2 linked regions of the Drosophila melanogaster genome follow. Changing the gene in region 1 together with any one later gene gives a genetic interaction. Each region holds a gene or a part of one and is shown on either strand. Other genes may lie near its edges.

Region 1 (6,757 bases):
AGTTCTACTACAGTAGTAGTTTATATATTTTATTTCTAATCCTCACTCAGATTATTGAGATGTTTTTCATAACTAGGTGTCATGAAAAACGGACATAATATCAAGTAATTTATAACACATACTTAGAGCTTGCTGTCTCGTCGTCAATTTCATTTAACGACAATCATTGTTTTTAGCTACCTTAAGTAAGTCTCTTTTAATGCAATTGAAATTAAACGTAACCCGACATTAAGGCCTTGCATTTTGGCCTTGGCTCCGTGAGTACGTGCTGTGCTCTACAACAACATTAAACTTCGATATACAAACAGGGATATCTGGAATGTTTACTTTAAATTTCCGGCTTGGCTTTGCTCAAGGACTTGTGGGTGGAAAGGGGGGTGGAATATATCATACTATATGCACATATAGTTAGATATAGTCCTATGTGAGGCGCACGTGACATGCGTGGCCTACGCAATTAATTCAAACCATTTAACATGCAGCTCGCAGTTGACTGATTCAAAGTACGAGTTGGTTGGATCTGAGCATCCAAATGTGAGTGCGGTGGCATGTAAAACATATTCACTCTCGGCGGGCGAAACTGGGCTACAAATATTCTAGGTCAGGTGCTTTAATTGGCCTCTCCAGCTCCAGTTGCACTGAACGGGTATTCTCCGCCCAATTGCCCCCGGACAACTGGGACTCGGATTCGGTGGTGTTTATGTGGGTTACTAAGCCAGTTTGGCTATGGTTGCTTTGAAACAAAGACGGCTGGGCGGCCAGCATAGTTTAATTTGGCCCAGCGATAAGAACAAATTCGGGTGATAAGCGCAAATCGATCGCTTATGCACAGAATGTTGTACAAAGTACTCGAAAGTGGGCATTTCGATAAGCCAAATTAGACGCACTGTTGATTTATTGATCGGCAATTTGTAGAAAGATTTATTAAGCAGGAATTAAAGTAATTTTAAGATTGGGTAAATCTTTTTGCTACGTAAGTGTGAAGTGCAGCACTGAAAACAATTTTAGCATTCTTATAGATTTTGCGATGTGAACGCTTTTGAATTTTATTATGTGAGTATTCCCATTTAATAGGTGCGTTTCACTCACATAAAGTTACGACATTTAAAACCAAAATGGCAATCAATTAATTATATTAATGGCAAAAATTGCAGTTGACCCACAAACGAAAAGAGTCATTTGTTCTCCACGGCGACAACGTGGCGACGATTAACCCGGTTCTTTTTCCCGACCTCCGGGAACGGAAGGCGGACGGAGGTGCTCTGGAAAAAGGGCGGCGCAGAGAAAGGCAAAGTAAGAGACGGAGCTGGGCGTTGGGTGGTCCAACCTGGTTGAGTTCCACGAGAACGGAGAACAGAGTGAAAAATATACAAAAGAATTTCATCAGGCTGGCAGAAAGGTGAATACTATATATGCATTTGCAAACATTGCATGGATGTGTCAGCTAAAAATATATCCACCTGAATTTCTCCAATTTGCATGAAGTGGCGTCGATAAACAAATAACAAAATCAAATTTCAATGGATACGGTACGGTGGATGCGGGAAACCCTTTTTCCTGCATAGCAAGTGAAAACCGTGTCAAGGTCACATGTACATGATTCTACTCTTGGAAAGCCAGCAGCTCAGGCAACTTTGAGATTAGAATATGGTATCGTTGGAGAAGCAGAATGTAGTAGTTATCTGGACCTAGGTTAACCTACTTTAGTTGCAGTCGTAAATCAAAGCCAGCTTGCATGGTGGTCGGAGCAAACATAACCCACTTTTGGCCCCATTTTCGGCTGCATTTCAGTTTTGGGCGGTAGTCAATGTGCTTACCCACAAATCAAATTGGCCAGTATCAAATATTAAATGCTGCTGCTCAAATATTCACCACTGAAACTGAACCAAATCAACTGAATAAATATGGTACATATTCGTATAGCTAAACAAATCAGAGCAGCGACGACGAGCTGTTCTGTGTGCTTTAATTTGTTTGCCACAAAATTATATTAGCACATATTGATTTTCCCCTCCTCCTCGATCTCACTCAATTTTCGCTGATGACTGACTGGGAGCCGAGAACAAAAAGAGTTGGAAAGTCACTTGGGTGAGTGCCTGACCTTTAAATCGAATTATTTCAGCCACACCGAGCAGGCATTTAAAGTGATTTAATTAGGCCCGGAATACAAGAGTTTTATGCAACAGTGAAAATCGCTGCAACATACAATATCTCAGAACCGATACAGAAAGAAAATCGAACATAATTTGCAAGACTTAATGAGGAAAAATAAACCTATATGGGAAGATTTAGAATCTATAAAATCTGAAAGATATTACGCTTTAACAAATAAAAACCTGCTATTTAATAGCTGTACTGCCTATTTGTTTTTCAAAAGTAATTTAAATAAAATAATTCAAACATAGCAAATTAGCCTTCATATTTATTTGGCTTGATAAGGAAAAAGATCGGGATTTCCACGCCAGAATTTAAACAACTGCTGTGAGTCAGAAAGAATTTCATATCAAATAACCAGCGAGAACCGATGATTAAGTCAAAACAACCGGTTTTCGAGGATGGGAAATCGCGGGAAGGGGCCATAAATCAAGTATAACAAGTCCTAGACGAAAGGAACTCAAAAGCAAGCGCAGATTAAGATCGATTGTTGAAATGCAGATATGCTCAGCTACTACCTGACCACGCCCACACCCGCCCAGTTCGGTGACCCACGTGCAACAATAACAGACATGCTGATGCAGGTCTCCTGCAGGCAAATCCCCTACGTAAGATAATGGATATCATTTCCGAGATTATGTTTAACTAAGAAAAGAGATATAACACTCTTACAATCTATTTTTTGAAGTTTCATTAAAAATTGATAATGAGGCTAAGAATAATAGGTGTATTTAACTTACCTTAGCTTTAAGTCTGGAAATCGGTTCTTTGGTTGTTAAGGTTCCTAAGCTCCAATTGAAGAGGCTAAATTCAAAATACACATAATTGAAAATTAATAAAAAACCAAATCCAGTGTATACGGAGAGTATAGGACTTTAATAATTATTTGACTGAATATATGTATACTTTATAAAACTTTCGCTGCACTGTTGATAAAAATAAAACACGATATCTTTACTATTTTCGCAATTAAAACAGGGAAAACGCTTAAAAATGTTTACAAATGTATAAGTCACTTTGGTTTGACGATTTAGATAAGTTGATAAGTTGACTTTTTATCAACCATACAAATGCAAATTAAGATTCTTTGTATTTCCCCTGTTTGTGGCTAGCCGATATTCACTGTATTAACAAGGACGCAAGTGGGAGCGGGGAGAGCGGTGCACGGGCAGTGTTGCTGTTGTTTTGCGATAAAAAGAGTGGAGAAAGAAAAGAAAATAACTTCCAATTTTCGCCGTTGTTGGCTTTGTTGCTGCAAGAGCAAAGTGTCGACTGAAAAGTTGGCAAAATAAAATAGTGAAAATAGCATGGGCATCTTGGATTTTGCAGAAATTCCTTTGCTTCTCCTTTTTCCGCCTCAATTGGGGGTGGCACGCATACATACAAACAGAGTGTGTACATACATACACGTATGTATGCAAGTTAATTGTGCACAGTCACAATGGTCGAAAGAGAAGAAAGGGTGCGGGTCGGGAAAATCGAGAACGATTCACAATTGCACGTGCACTGGTCGCGATTTCCGTATATCGCCTCACTACTCCGCCGTAAATTACCGATTGGGCTGCCTGCCTTCTTGGTTGCTTTTTGCCGCACTTGGAGCGGAGCGAACAGCACAGACACAGATGTACAGCGCGGGTCCACGAATTTTTAATAAATAATTATTTTCCCGACTCAGTGTGACTGCAGCCACAGTCATCGAAAATCCATCCGGGCAGTTGGAAAATACCAATAATATATCGATAATATTTGTGCAGCTCTATCGGGTTAACAATAATGACTATCGACCGTTACAAGCGGTCTTTCAAAAATAAGTTTGAAAACTAGTAAATGTAGTAGAAACCAAAATAGGAGCCAGTAATGTAATTGAAATAAAAAACTGGCAGGCTTTTGATACATTTTGTCACTTTTAATACGAAATATTTTTGTGAAGGGCTACTTTACAATAAATCTATTTTTTTAGGCGTTACATTTCAATATAATGTAGCTTAAACTCTTTGTTTAACGCAAAACTACCAACAACTGCGTTTAACCCCTTTTAACCAACAAAAAGCTCGATGGCACTCAAGCTCAAAGTTGGTTTGTGTATTGGATGGGAAAGGTAAATGACTTACTAGTGATGTCGTGCCTTTATAAGGAAATTATCTAAAAAATAAAATATTTTGGCAAAAAAAAAGAATATATATATTTTCAGGGCAAAAGTGAGTTGTTAGTAGAAACATCCAACTTTAAAATCTTTTTTGAAGATAATATTCATGGCTAAAGCGGCATCACTGACCACGATCATTGGGGATTTCGTTAGTAGCGCGTTTACCGGCCGAGGAAACAGGTGTACAAAGAAACAAAGCCATCATAAAATCGGTAATTCCAAAGTGACTACCCCCATAATCAATTCAGAAATCAGCGGAATTATATTGAGCACGTTTCAGCATTTAGTTTAACTCAAGACTTATTTCCATTTTTCGTCAAAAAGTCAATAAGACTTTTACCTATTTTACCTTTGCTGAATTCCCCGTGTGCGTGAAGTAGTGAGTGATAAGATTAGGCGAATGGGTAAATGTTCCCTACGTGATAACAGGCAATTGGAACTTGAAGAGAAAATAAAGTGAATAAAGTGTAAATAAAAGAAACCAAATTTAGTAAATTAGTCACTGTGAATGGAAGGGAGTTAGTACGAGCTCCACATACGCAAATCTATATGTGCGACAAATGACAGTCATCGGCAGTGCCCGTAAACAAATTATGATAAAAAAGATAAATCTATTATACGAACAGAGGAGATATGCTCATATGAGCAGCTTCCGGCTTTCGTACCGCTTAAACTGAAATGTCCAGTGGAAAATTATCTAAATTGGACTGCGAGTGCTACCGAACCTGTCTCTGATATTGTTATTGTTATGGTTGTTGGCATAATGATAGTGGCAATGATATGTAGGCATATTGTATGGGGAGAAAATATGTAAAACACATATAGTATATAGTATGCCGTACAGAATAAATTGCCATTTTCGAACAACTTCTAAAATGTAAAATTCGTTAATAACCCTAAAGTAAACAACGATAAGGAGAGTACAAAGGTGAGCGTAAGGCTGAGATTTATATGGCCATAGATTGGACTAGCGTGGCAAACGTTGTAATGTGGCTAAAACAGCGGGCTTCAAATTTGGTAATATATCAAAATTCGATAGCTGTGAACGTGATCTTCCTGAAAATCTGGATCAGGCAACTTGTAAATGGCGTTAGAACAAAAGATCAGATGAGCACACAATTAGTCGTGGGTTTTGTGTCTACAACACAGGCCATTGTCACTAGTTATCCGCTTGGGTCATTGGCATTAAAATGGTAGTCAAAGTAGAACAAAAAGCTAAAAAAAAGTATTGGCTGTTGCACAGAAAGCTTCCCCTCTCGCTCGCAAATGACGTCACACAGGTGAAATGCATTGCACTGAATTTATTTCCATTCGTTTCAGTTTTGGTTTTAATTCGGTTTTCTCTCGTCGGTCATTAATTGGCAGACATGCAACTATTGCAGCATGGCCATTGTAATATATACACATGTACACATATGTACATATATCCGGTATAATGCTCCTATATTCATTGGGCAATTGGAGTGGTCAGCGGGCTGCGTGAGGAAATATTAATAATACATTTCTAATAAATAGTGTGCAGCATGGAAAAGTGCGTGTGGAAAAAGTGATTTAAAAAGTTGGTGATCGAATACCCTGCTTGAGTGGCGTTGACTGGGTTATCAATTGCAACATACTCGTTTTACCTCATAATTATTTTATGATTAGATTTAAAATGCTTTACTACTTGCGGGAATTTCCGCTGATCCACTTAAAAAAAATTGTTGCCGTTAGGAGTGCTAAAAATCACAATGTAACTCAGTCATCCTTTTGAAAGATAAGATAAAGACAATAATATAACGCATTCATCCTTTTAAGAAACGATAAGATAAGACATCTATTTAAAAGACTCATTAAGCATTTGATATTTCTTTTCACTACTTATTTCTCTCAGTGCCGGGCTGTCGCTTCTAATATCAGTTGTTTGCGCTTAGGCAGCGATACCGCGTGAGAGAAAAAAGTTATCTGAGCACTGCTTTTGTTTAGCCCATTTGTTTTGCCTGCGCTCTTTTCTGTTTACCTGCGCTCGAGTGGGAGGGAGGGGAGGGGAGGGGGACCAGGTGGCATTGGGAGCGAGTGAGAGGGAGTGGAGCTACCTGGGGGCACAACTTGCGACACCTTTTGCCGCCGATCGCTAGTTCAGTAGCAATCCGTAGCCGGCGACAGCAACAACAAGCCCAAACAGAACCATTAGTCGACCCGACCGATATTCAGCGGAATATAACATATATAGGTTCAAAAAGCGCACACAAAGTAAACCATGTAAAATTCAGCGATTACGGTAGAGATATGGTAATGCAACGGTGGATGTGAACTCCGTAAGATGGCGCATAAAATATCCGCGAGATACATTTAATGGGAGCATTACTCAAGCTCGTGTTTTTTGCGCCCTTTCAGTTGGTTTGCGGTGAATGCGTTCAACGGTGGATCTTCGCTTGCACCTTTCGCGATAGACGACATACGGATACAGATACAGCT
Region 2 (8,928 bases), on another chromosome or scaffold:
GGTTCCACAGGCAGGCCACTGGCATGTGTGATCTTCTGGCCAACTTGACCACCGCCAGGTCATTGGTAAGGGTCTCCGCATCGAAGTGCGGATGCTGGCTAATTCGCTTGATCTCAATCAATTGCCCGCGACCGCTGTTCAGCTCAACGCCACCAATCAACGCCACTGACGGGGATTCCCTGCTCGAATTCAAGATATTTTTAACCCATTAGCATTTCGAGTGTTTTCTTTGGTTTTGTTTTTCATTTTTATTTATTTTTTTTTGCTTACCCACCGACGCTGGCACAGTGTGCTGCCGTTATGGCGAACCGAGGCGCAATCATGGCGCAGCCACAGTTGAACGTGTATCTGCGCTTGCTGGAACCGTGCTCATGAATCCATCTGTTTGTGCGGGACGGCCAACCGAGGGCGCACTGTAATTGAATCGAATGTAAATCTTTATTAATCTACCAAATGGCTTACAATATCAGATTGCTAATTTTTTACTGTTTCAAAGGCAAATAAGTTTCATAAGGTTAGATTTTGGACTGTTTTCCTAATTGCTTAAAACTCACCATATACGGATGCTCGTTCTCCTGGGTGAGTCTGCCGCCCACCAGTAAATTCTGGCTCTGATTGTGCTTTTGTATAATTGGCTCAACTAGTTCCACTTGATCCAGTTTAGGGTTCGTATTCCGACGGCGTCGACGGCGCTTGTGATGAGCTCTTGGATAGGCATTGGCACAGGCTGGCAAAAGATATAAGTTCTGGATTCTCTGAATTCCTTTCATACGCACCTTGTTCGCTCTTCGAGATGCTGGGCGGCGGCAACAAGTATCCGCCGTGTGGACAGCAAACCAACTGATTGGGCCACGATGACGGACAGAGTAGTGGTGTCACCCGGGGCACTGCCTGCATGGCACTAATGCAATCCACGTACCGCACACACTTACCAATCAGCGGACGATCGTGGGCTTGGCAATTTCCGTATATGTCAATCGATAGATACGATGGAGCCACTGCGTTCCAAGGCGCATTCTGTGCATATCTATTGTAATAATGGTTGTAGTGATAGCAACAATTGTTCTGCCGATACGAACGCTAACGTCGAAATTAAGACGAACTCTAAAATCAATCTGTATCCAAATGATAGCTTTCCCATCTCGGATGTCCGAGCTCTACGACGTCAGATTGCCGACTGAGATGCTCGCGAAGATCTCGTCTCATAACCTGAGTTCCATACAAAGCTTCTTTTGATTGAGCTTATATTTTCGGTTAGCAGTCGCGCCGAAATCGGAACTCATATTTCAATTCATCGGAAAACTTGCTCAACTTTCATTAATATACTCAAAATAAATAGTGACTAAGACTTTTCAATTGAAAATCAGAATGCATTGCATGCCACGAGATTCTATTGAATAATAGATAGAACAAAAAAGTAACCATTGAATTTTTCTTAATCTAAAAGGAATATTTAATATTAATCAGTGGTATATAAATTTGTTCAAACAGCTCTCCAGCTTAGTTTACACATTAAACGACTCAATTATTTTTAAAACATTTAATTCACTATGTATATATAAACAAATTAACAAATAAAATCGTCATTTTAAATGCTTAAGCAGTACAAACAATAAAAACAATTTTAAGGCACAATGTTCCATGGCGTAAATGATCCTGGTTCGGGTATTTCAAGCTATAATTAATAAATTAATAATAAAAGTTAGTTTAATGTTATAAACTAATCCAAGGGTAACTTACCAGTTCCGTGAACTTATCCTGACAAGCAATTCGAATGCGTGCCGATGTGGAAGGCGCCTCCAGTGGGAAGTCACCACTCAAGCCCTGATCCTCGCGAGCAGCTGCAATGGCCTCCTTAATGGCAAAGAATGCAGATGATCCAATGAAGAGCGGAGGTTCACCCACTGCCTTGGAAGAGTAGACTGCCCGTGGATTGGGGGCACCGGTCAGTAGGCTGACATTGAACTCCCCGGGAATGTCGGCAAATCCTGGCAGCTTATACATGCCCGGACCTCTGGAGTAAAGCATGCCTTGTGGTGAGTACATGAGTTCCTCCAAAGTGAACAGTCCATAGCCCTGCATGAATGCTCCCTCGATCTGACCAATGTCAATAGCCGGATTCAGGCTGGAACCGATGTCCATTACGATGTCTGTGCTGAGCACCTGATGGTCGCCAGTCAGGCAATCGATCTCTACCACAGTGACTCCCACGCCATTCGTGTAGTAGCTATAGGTGCGGGCATTGGGATTCGTTTCCGGGTGATATCCAATCCCGGGCATGGCATAGAATCCTGTGGCCGAGAGGCTGACCCGATCGAAATACGCCTTGTTGATCCACTCCTTCCAGGTGCCTCCAGGCAATGCCTCCTTGATGGGCGCCAGTCTTTTGTTCAACTTTTCACACGCATCCAGTACGGCCATTCCGTTCAAATCGGATCCCACACTCGCCGCCGTGGGTGAAGTGTTGGGTACTTTATCCGTGGCCGTTTCCGAAATGTGAATCAGTTCCGAAGGAATCCCCAGAGCCCTGGCGGCGCACTGAATCATCTTGGTATTCAGACCTTGTCCGATCTCAACTCCTCCGTGCGAAAGCAACACGGATCCATCACCATAGATGTTGATCAGCGATCCCGCTTGGTTCAAGTGCATCACTCCAAATGCGATTCCATACTTGGTAGGCACCACCGCCATGCCGCGTTTCCGCCAGCGATTCTCCCGATTGAATCGAGCAATCTCCTGCCGCTTCTCGTCGTATCTCGACTGCTTCAAGCAATCCTCCAGACACCGCTCGATGGGGAAGTGCTCCAGCTGCTGGTGGTAGTGTGTGTAGTCTCCAGTCTTGTAGAAGTTCAGCCGCATCACATCCACCACATCGCGACCCACTATCCGGGCCACATCCCGGATGATATGCTCACCGGCGTACATGCCTTGTGGTCCTCCAAATCCACGGAAGGCCGTATTCGAGGGCAGGTTCGTCTTGCAGACCCATCCACCCACGCGAACGTTGGGAATCCTGTAGCAATTCTCAAAGTGGAACATGGCGCGCTCAAGAACCTAAACATAGGATTTATATATTAGATCATTTTTAAGAATTTTTAGATTATTATTTATAATTGTTTATGTCAATATAATCCTGGTGCTTGCTTTCCTGATTAGACCTAAACATTCTTAAAAGTTTCAAACTATTTGCACTCAGGATGATAACATATAGGGGTCCTAGAAATTCCCACACTAACCAGATGTTCAATGGAAAATACAACACATGGATATTTGAGCAAACATGGTATGCATAAAGAAACCTACATATGGATTTTCCATAAACCCACCACTCTTACCGAAAATGACAGATCCATGGACCAACCGGCATTGTTGTAGCACTCAATGTCGCAGGCAGTGATCAGACCCTCCTTGGTGAAGCCCACTTTGTATTTGAAGAGGAAGGGATGCCTGGTGCCGGTGATAAGCATGTCCTCATCGCGATCCAACATACAGCGCACAGGACGACCCATTCGATAGGCGGCCAGGGCAACGGGTAGGGCCACGGAGATGCCTCTGGACTCCTTGCCGCCGAAACCGCCTCCCAAACGCTTGGCACGACAGACGACACGGTGGGCAGGAAGTGCGGTTACATGGGCCACTAGCTTCTGCACCTCCGAGGGATGCTGCGTGGAGCAAAAGAGTTCCAGCTCATCGCTGTCACGAGGTACCGCCAATGCAGCATGGGTCTCCAGATAGAAGTGCTCCTGTCCGCCCATTCGACAGGTGCCCTCGAAAGTGTGATCCGCCTGGGCTAAAGCCTCCTCCACATTGCCCTTGGTCACGAATCGAGGGTAGTCCGGGAAATAGGACTTGTGCTCGATGGCCTGCTCTATGGTCACGATAACCGGGCTCAGCTCCTCGTACTCCACTTTCACTAGCCGAGCGGCTCTTTGGGCCAACGCCTTATTATCGGCAGCTATGGCGCCCACTATCTGACCATAGCAATGCACTTCTCCAGCAGCAAAGACGTGCTCATCATGAAAGACGGGTCCCACTTCGTTCTCGTGCTCCGTTAAGTCCTTGTAGCAAAAGAACTGATGCACTCCGTCCAGGGCCAGAGCTTCACTGGCATCCAGCTTGGTGATCTTGGCACGTGGCTTGGTACTAAGGACAAAGGCCAGATAAACTTCACCATCCATGCGGGGAATGTCATCTGTGTAGATAGCTTCACCAGTGGCCTGTTTCAAAGCAGCCGCATGAACTTTTGGTCTCCCAATGGGATCACAGATGGGTTGATCGCTGCAGACGCGCTCGAAGAGCTGGGCACTTTTGAGTACTGGTGTGTGGAATGTCTCGGCACCACTTCGCTCCTCCGATGGCAGAGCATCGGAAGATGTGATCCCTGACTTGCTCAGCTTCAGGGAAATGGCCAGATAGGCCTTGAAGAACAGGCTCACCACCAGAGCTCGACGATAGGCGATCATGCCACCCGGAGCGGAGGCAGCCAAAGGCAGCTCCGTGCACAAGCTCTCCGCCACGCGCTCCACGAGCTGGTGGCTCCACTCCTGCCCAACCATCAGTTGGGAAGTTCGAGGAGCGAGCACTGTGGTTGGTGCCATTCCACCAAAAGCCATCGAGATCTCCGCCACAATGTTGGATTTTTCCTCAAAGCGAACGTTTATTGCGGCATTTACGATGGCTATGTCATCATCCCTTCTCCTGGCCTGCTTAAAAGCAACGATATACTGGTCCGGAGTGGTCTTCCGAAAGTGGATGCCCAGCAGCACCTCGTGGGCTTCGATAACATTCCTGCGATAGCCAGTGAAGAACCCAGTTCCCATGTGAACTGATCTCTTTTGGAGCTTTCCATCCACAAAACTGGCCACCTCCAGTTGAGCTCCTGCTGCCGAGAGCACAGGATTCATATCGGAAATGGGACTACCGGTCATGATGTTTCCACCCAAACAGGCGACGTTGCGGATCTGCTTGCCGGCAAAGTAGTGAAGCATATCCACGGTGCACTGGAACAATCTGGTCTCCGATTCCGGCAGCTGCTCGATTCTCTGCCGCAGAAGCGCATCGATCTCCATCAAACTGACAGCCGCACCGAAGTAAATGCCATCCTGGTTCTCTTTGATCTCCAGCAGCTCCTTCACCTGGGTGGGATTAATGAGGTGCGGGTAGAGGAAGTGCTTGAACTTAACCTCAACGCCCACTTCCGTATTGCCCACGACCAGCTTGGCAGCCGGATGTTTGGCCTTCAGCTGAAGCAGCTCCTCCAGATTGGTGGGACGATACCAGGTCACCCTATCCGAACTAAAGATCAAACTCTGAGAATCGAAGGCGTCACTCAGCTGAAGTTCCGGTGGGAAGATGGGTTCCTGGCTGGGATCCAAGGGCTGGAATTCGCTGCGCTCGAAGAGCTTGTCATCGGTCTCCGCATCGGTTCCGCATCCTTTCCCACTAACTTTGCAGCACTTCTCGCCCATTCCGCAGGCAAACTCCTTGGTGAACGTCTTGTAGCCCTCGAGAATGGGTCGATAGCCGGTGCAGCGGCACAGGTTACCTTGGAATGCCACCTCCAAGTCTCGCATAGAGGGTTGCTCCGCGTTCCGCAGAAGTGCGTACATGGACATCACAATGCCCGGCGTGCAGAAGCCGCACTGGGATCCGTGCGCCTTGGCCAGTCGCTCCTGCACCGGATGCAGACGCGTTTTGGTGCTCCCTATACCCTCCACAGTGGTCACCGCACATCCGTGCATCGAGCACACTGGCGTCAGGCAGGCGTTGACCGCCAGGTGACGTATCTTGTTGGCCCGACGGTCTAGGCGGGACACCATCACGGTGCAGGCGCCGCATCCGCCTTCCGCACATCCCAACTTCGTTCCGCACAGCCGCAGCTTTTCGCGCAGGAATGTGAGGAGCGTGCACTCCGGATCAGGCGACACTTCGGTCACCTGGAATAAGAAATGTATAAATATAATAAAATGAAAAAAACGAAATCAATTTCCCAAAAGTATCTAATGCCATTTATCCATTAATGGGAAAATTTGTATCTTGTATCTTGTAGCTTTAAGATCTGTACCTACTTAATTATAATTGCTATAATTATAAGTTTATATGGTTTAAAGCAATTGTTTGTCAAAACTGTGACTTTGTTTAAACTTAAAACAGCGAAAGTGTTATCTGCTCTGCCAGCCCTGAGCAAACAGAGATTGCTATCTATCACTATCAAATGCCGGGCGCACGAGCAACTGGTTATTTATTATTATTTACTTCACTTGTGCGCAAGCTGTGAGCACAAAGTAAAGAACTCCAACTGCACTCCACCAACACCAGATGCTAAATATGGCCAGCTTTATCTGAATAATCCAGCCGAGCTCACTGGATTGTAAACACCGCACAGCCGGTGGGAATGTGCGGATTAGAGGGCCTGGCTATCTGGCAGACACAAATGCCCATGACGATCCCAGCTCACCCACATCCGAGTAGCACTGCTCCCATGCGCGATTGGCAAGTGCACCATCTTGATCGGGCGATAAGGGGCCACCAGCAAACAACGAGGCTTCACATGGGGGTCAATTGTTATCACTATATGCACAGCAAATACTATATACATTCGACACATTCAATTGAGCAAGAAGGCAAATTCCATCGAATGCCAGTTAAACGCAATTAGGGCAATAAAACAATAAAGGGAATCGATATAGTAGGAGTGGGCCGACTTTAAGGAAAGACACGCAAGGCATCCGAGTATCTTTAAGTACCTTCTTTCCATTCACGAAAAACACCAAAACCGAGTTAGACATCGTGAAGTGCTATGTATCTGTAGCTCACGGTATCTCGCTGTATCTCAGTACCAATGCCTATATAAGTGTTAGCCTGCAATTACGAAGCTCGTTTACATATATGGAGGGGAGGAGGTGCGTTCCTTGAATGTAAAGCGAAAACAAGTTTTTTATTTCAAAATTAGAGAACCGACAACCTCATGTGCCCGCCGATTAAAAAACAACACAACCGTCTCGCGCCGTCAACGAAAACGTAATGAATGTGCCAACAGCCAGCCGAGCAATCCATCCAAACGCCGACTTTTATTTTTGTGAGATAAGACGAGCGACCGACGAGTGCAGGATCGCCTACATGTGCGTGGAAATGGCCATGTCTAGGGGTTACGAGGCAGCAGTTCTACTACCTGCTATCTCGGATTAGAGCAGATACCCATCCGAGATCGGTGTGGTCAGCTAGGAAAGCAATCTGTCAGATAAAATCGTACTGATCACTATTCAGCATGAGAACTGCAGCTTTTCTATCTCAAGAATTAAGACCATTTTGAAGATTGTCCTTCAGTCTCAAGAAACACCAAAACCTCGGTATAGTGAAGTTATTTATCTGTATCTTAAAGTTTTCTAGTACCACGATACGCTTTTTTTTTAAACAAAATGTTCACAAGGTGTTCAAACTAGGCAAATATATAAATCTATTTCCTAGCTATATATCTTCCAGATTTATAAATAGTATCGAATTAGGGGTATTTCAGAGAAACGTACATGAAATGCAATTATTTTTCAGAATATTAATTGAAACTTACTTTTAGATACTTTTTTAACCTTTCATTTCATTTTTGTGATATGGCTCCCACTCAAGTAAAAAGTATACTATCTAAAGTTGTAAAAATGGTGCATTAAATAACCCTTTTACGTACCAGAACGTATTGAATATACAACTTTTAGACTGTAAATTTTGCTTTTATGTAAATGGTAAAAAAAAACTATTAAAAAGTTAAAAGGTCGTCAAAATGGGTTCAAGGTTCTTCAAAAGTAAACAACTAGCTCTATCAGCTTAAATCAAATCGAAAGCACAATAAAGCCCAACAGGTTTTAGGAACCACAATCATTAAAATGATGGATTGATTTCTGTCAATCCCAAATCAAAGATGGTGGCATAATTAATTCCCTACGAGTGGCAAGCTAAGATTTCACTTACAACATATATATAATATATTGGCTACTATAAAGTTTGGTAACAAAAGGTAGTTTACAACACAAGGGATTTAACAATGCCAGGATTACTTGGTATCCTAGAGTGAAAACAAACATCGAAGTAGTAATGAAGGATCTGACTTATGCTACGCCGACTTCAGATCTAAGTCTCTCTCCCTTTGGGTGCCCTCATAAAGGGCTTGTCGTCTCATCGCCTCACGCAATTGCTGCTGCTCGAATCTCCTGACGGACCATTGATACCTGCGGATGCCACATTGATAATTAAGTGATAAGGGCGCCGCACGGTTTTAATCACAGTCACTTACCTGCAGGTCATCCAGTAGGCGATGGTGCCGCAGAAGAAGGAGCCGAAGCCCACGTGGGTGGACAGGTGGGTTCGCGAGGTGCCCAGAAAAGTCAGCAAGCCGATGCCGATTCCTCCGCTGATTCCGTAGAGAAAACTGTTACGAAAGCACGGGATCTGCGCCACATCGCGTCCGAAGATAACGAAGCTCTATGGGAGATTAAACATAGTTAAAGCTTAATCAGGCACCTGATGTCCAATAGATTTATGTAATCCATACCTTGGCGGGTTCCTCGGGTTCTTCGGCCATGCTGCAATTGCAATTTTAAAAGTCAAGTTGCAAAGCAAAACAAAACAAAAGTGTGACCCTGACGTTACTAAATAATAATACCACGGACATGTTAGGGGCATTCCAAAAACTGATATAAAATTAGTTATTCCACTCCTATGCACTAAGAAATTTGGACTTATAATTAAAAATAAGTGTAGCCTATATTTATAGCTAAATTATGTTGATTTTCTTGCATACAACATATAGCGTAAAACCTTTACAACTAGTTTAATTTGCGCCTTATCGAAGTCGTTGCCTATCGAACCAGAATCGATTACTCGTTTCTTGCACTAGAGTCGCTCTTATAATTGCATTTTAAGCATTAGGCAACACTG

What was found. A genetic interaction does not mean that the proteins touch.
Region 2: of ZnT63C (region 1) and ry, changing one suppresses a phenotype caused by changing the other (phenotypic suppression), as found in Drosophila melanogaster (one study listed by BioGRID).

What each region holds. Positions count from the first base shown.
Region 1 is NT_037436.4:3,300,803-3,307,559, reverse strand, and holds the start of ZnT63C (zinc transporter 63C), read right to left. Parts: upstream 3,853-6,757; 5' UTR 3,708-3,852; exon of another isoform or gene 3,287-3,707; intron 2,959-3,286; 5' UTR 2,895-2,958; intron 1-2,894.
Region 2 is NT_033777.3:13,030,626-13,039,553, reverse strand, and holds ry (rosy), read right to left. Parts: upstream 7,027-8,928; 5' UTR 6,789-7,026; coding exon 6,747-6,788; intron 5,937-6,746; coding exon 3,336-5,936; intron 3,055-3,335; coding exon 1,741-3,054; intron 1,676-1,740; coding exon 1,625-1,675; 3' UTR 1,534-1,624; downstream 1-1,533. Other genes in the region: CG11668 (uncharacterized protein), read right to left, coding at 1-179, 271-413, 555-727, 777-1,027, 1,080-1,141; l(3)87Df (lethal (3) 87Df), read right to left, coding at 8,105-8,219, 8,285-8,472, 8,543-8,572.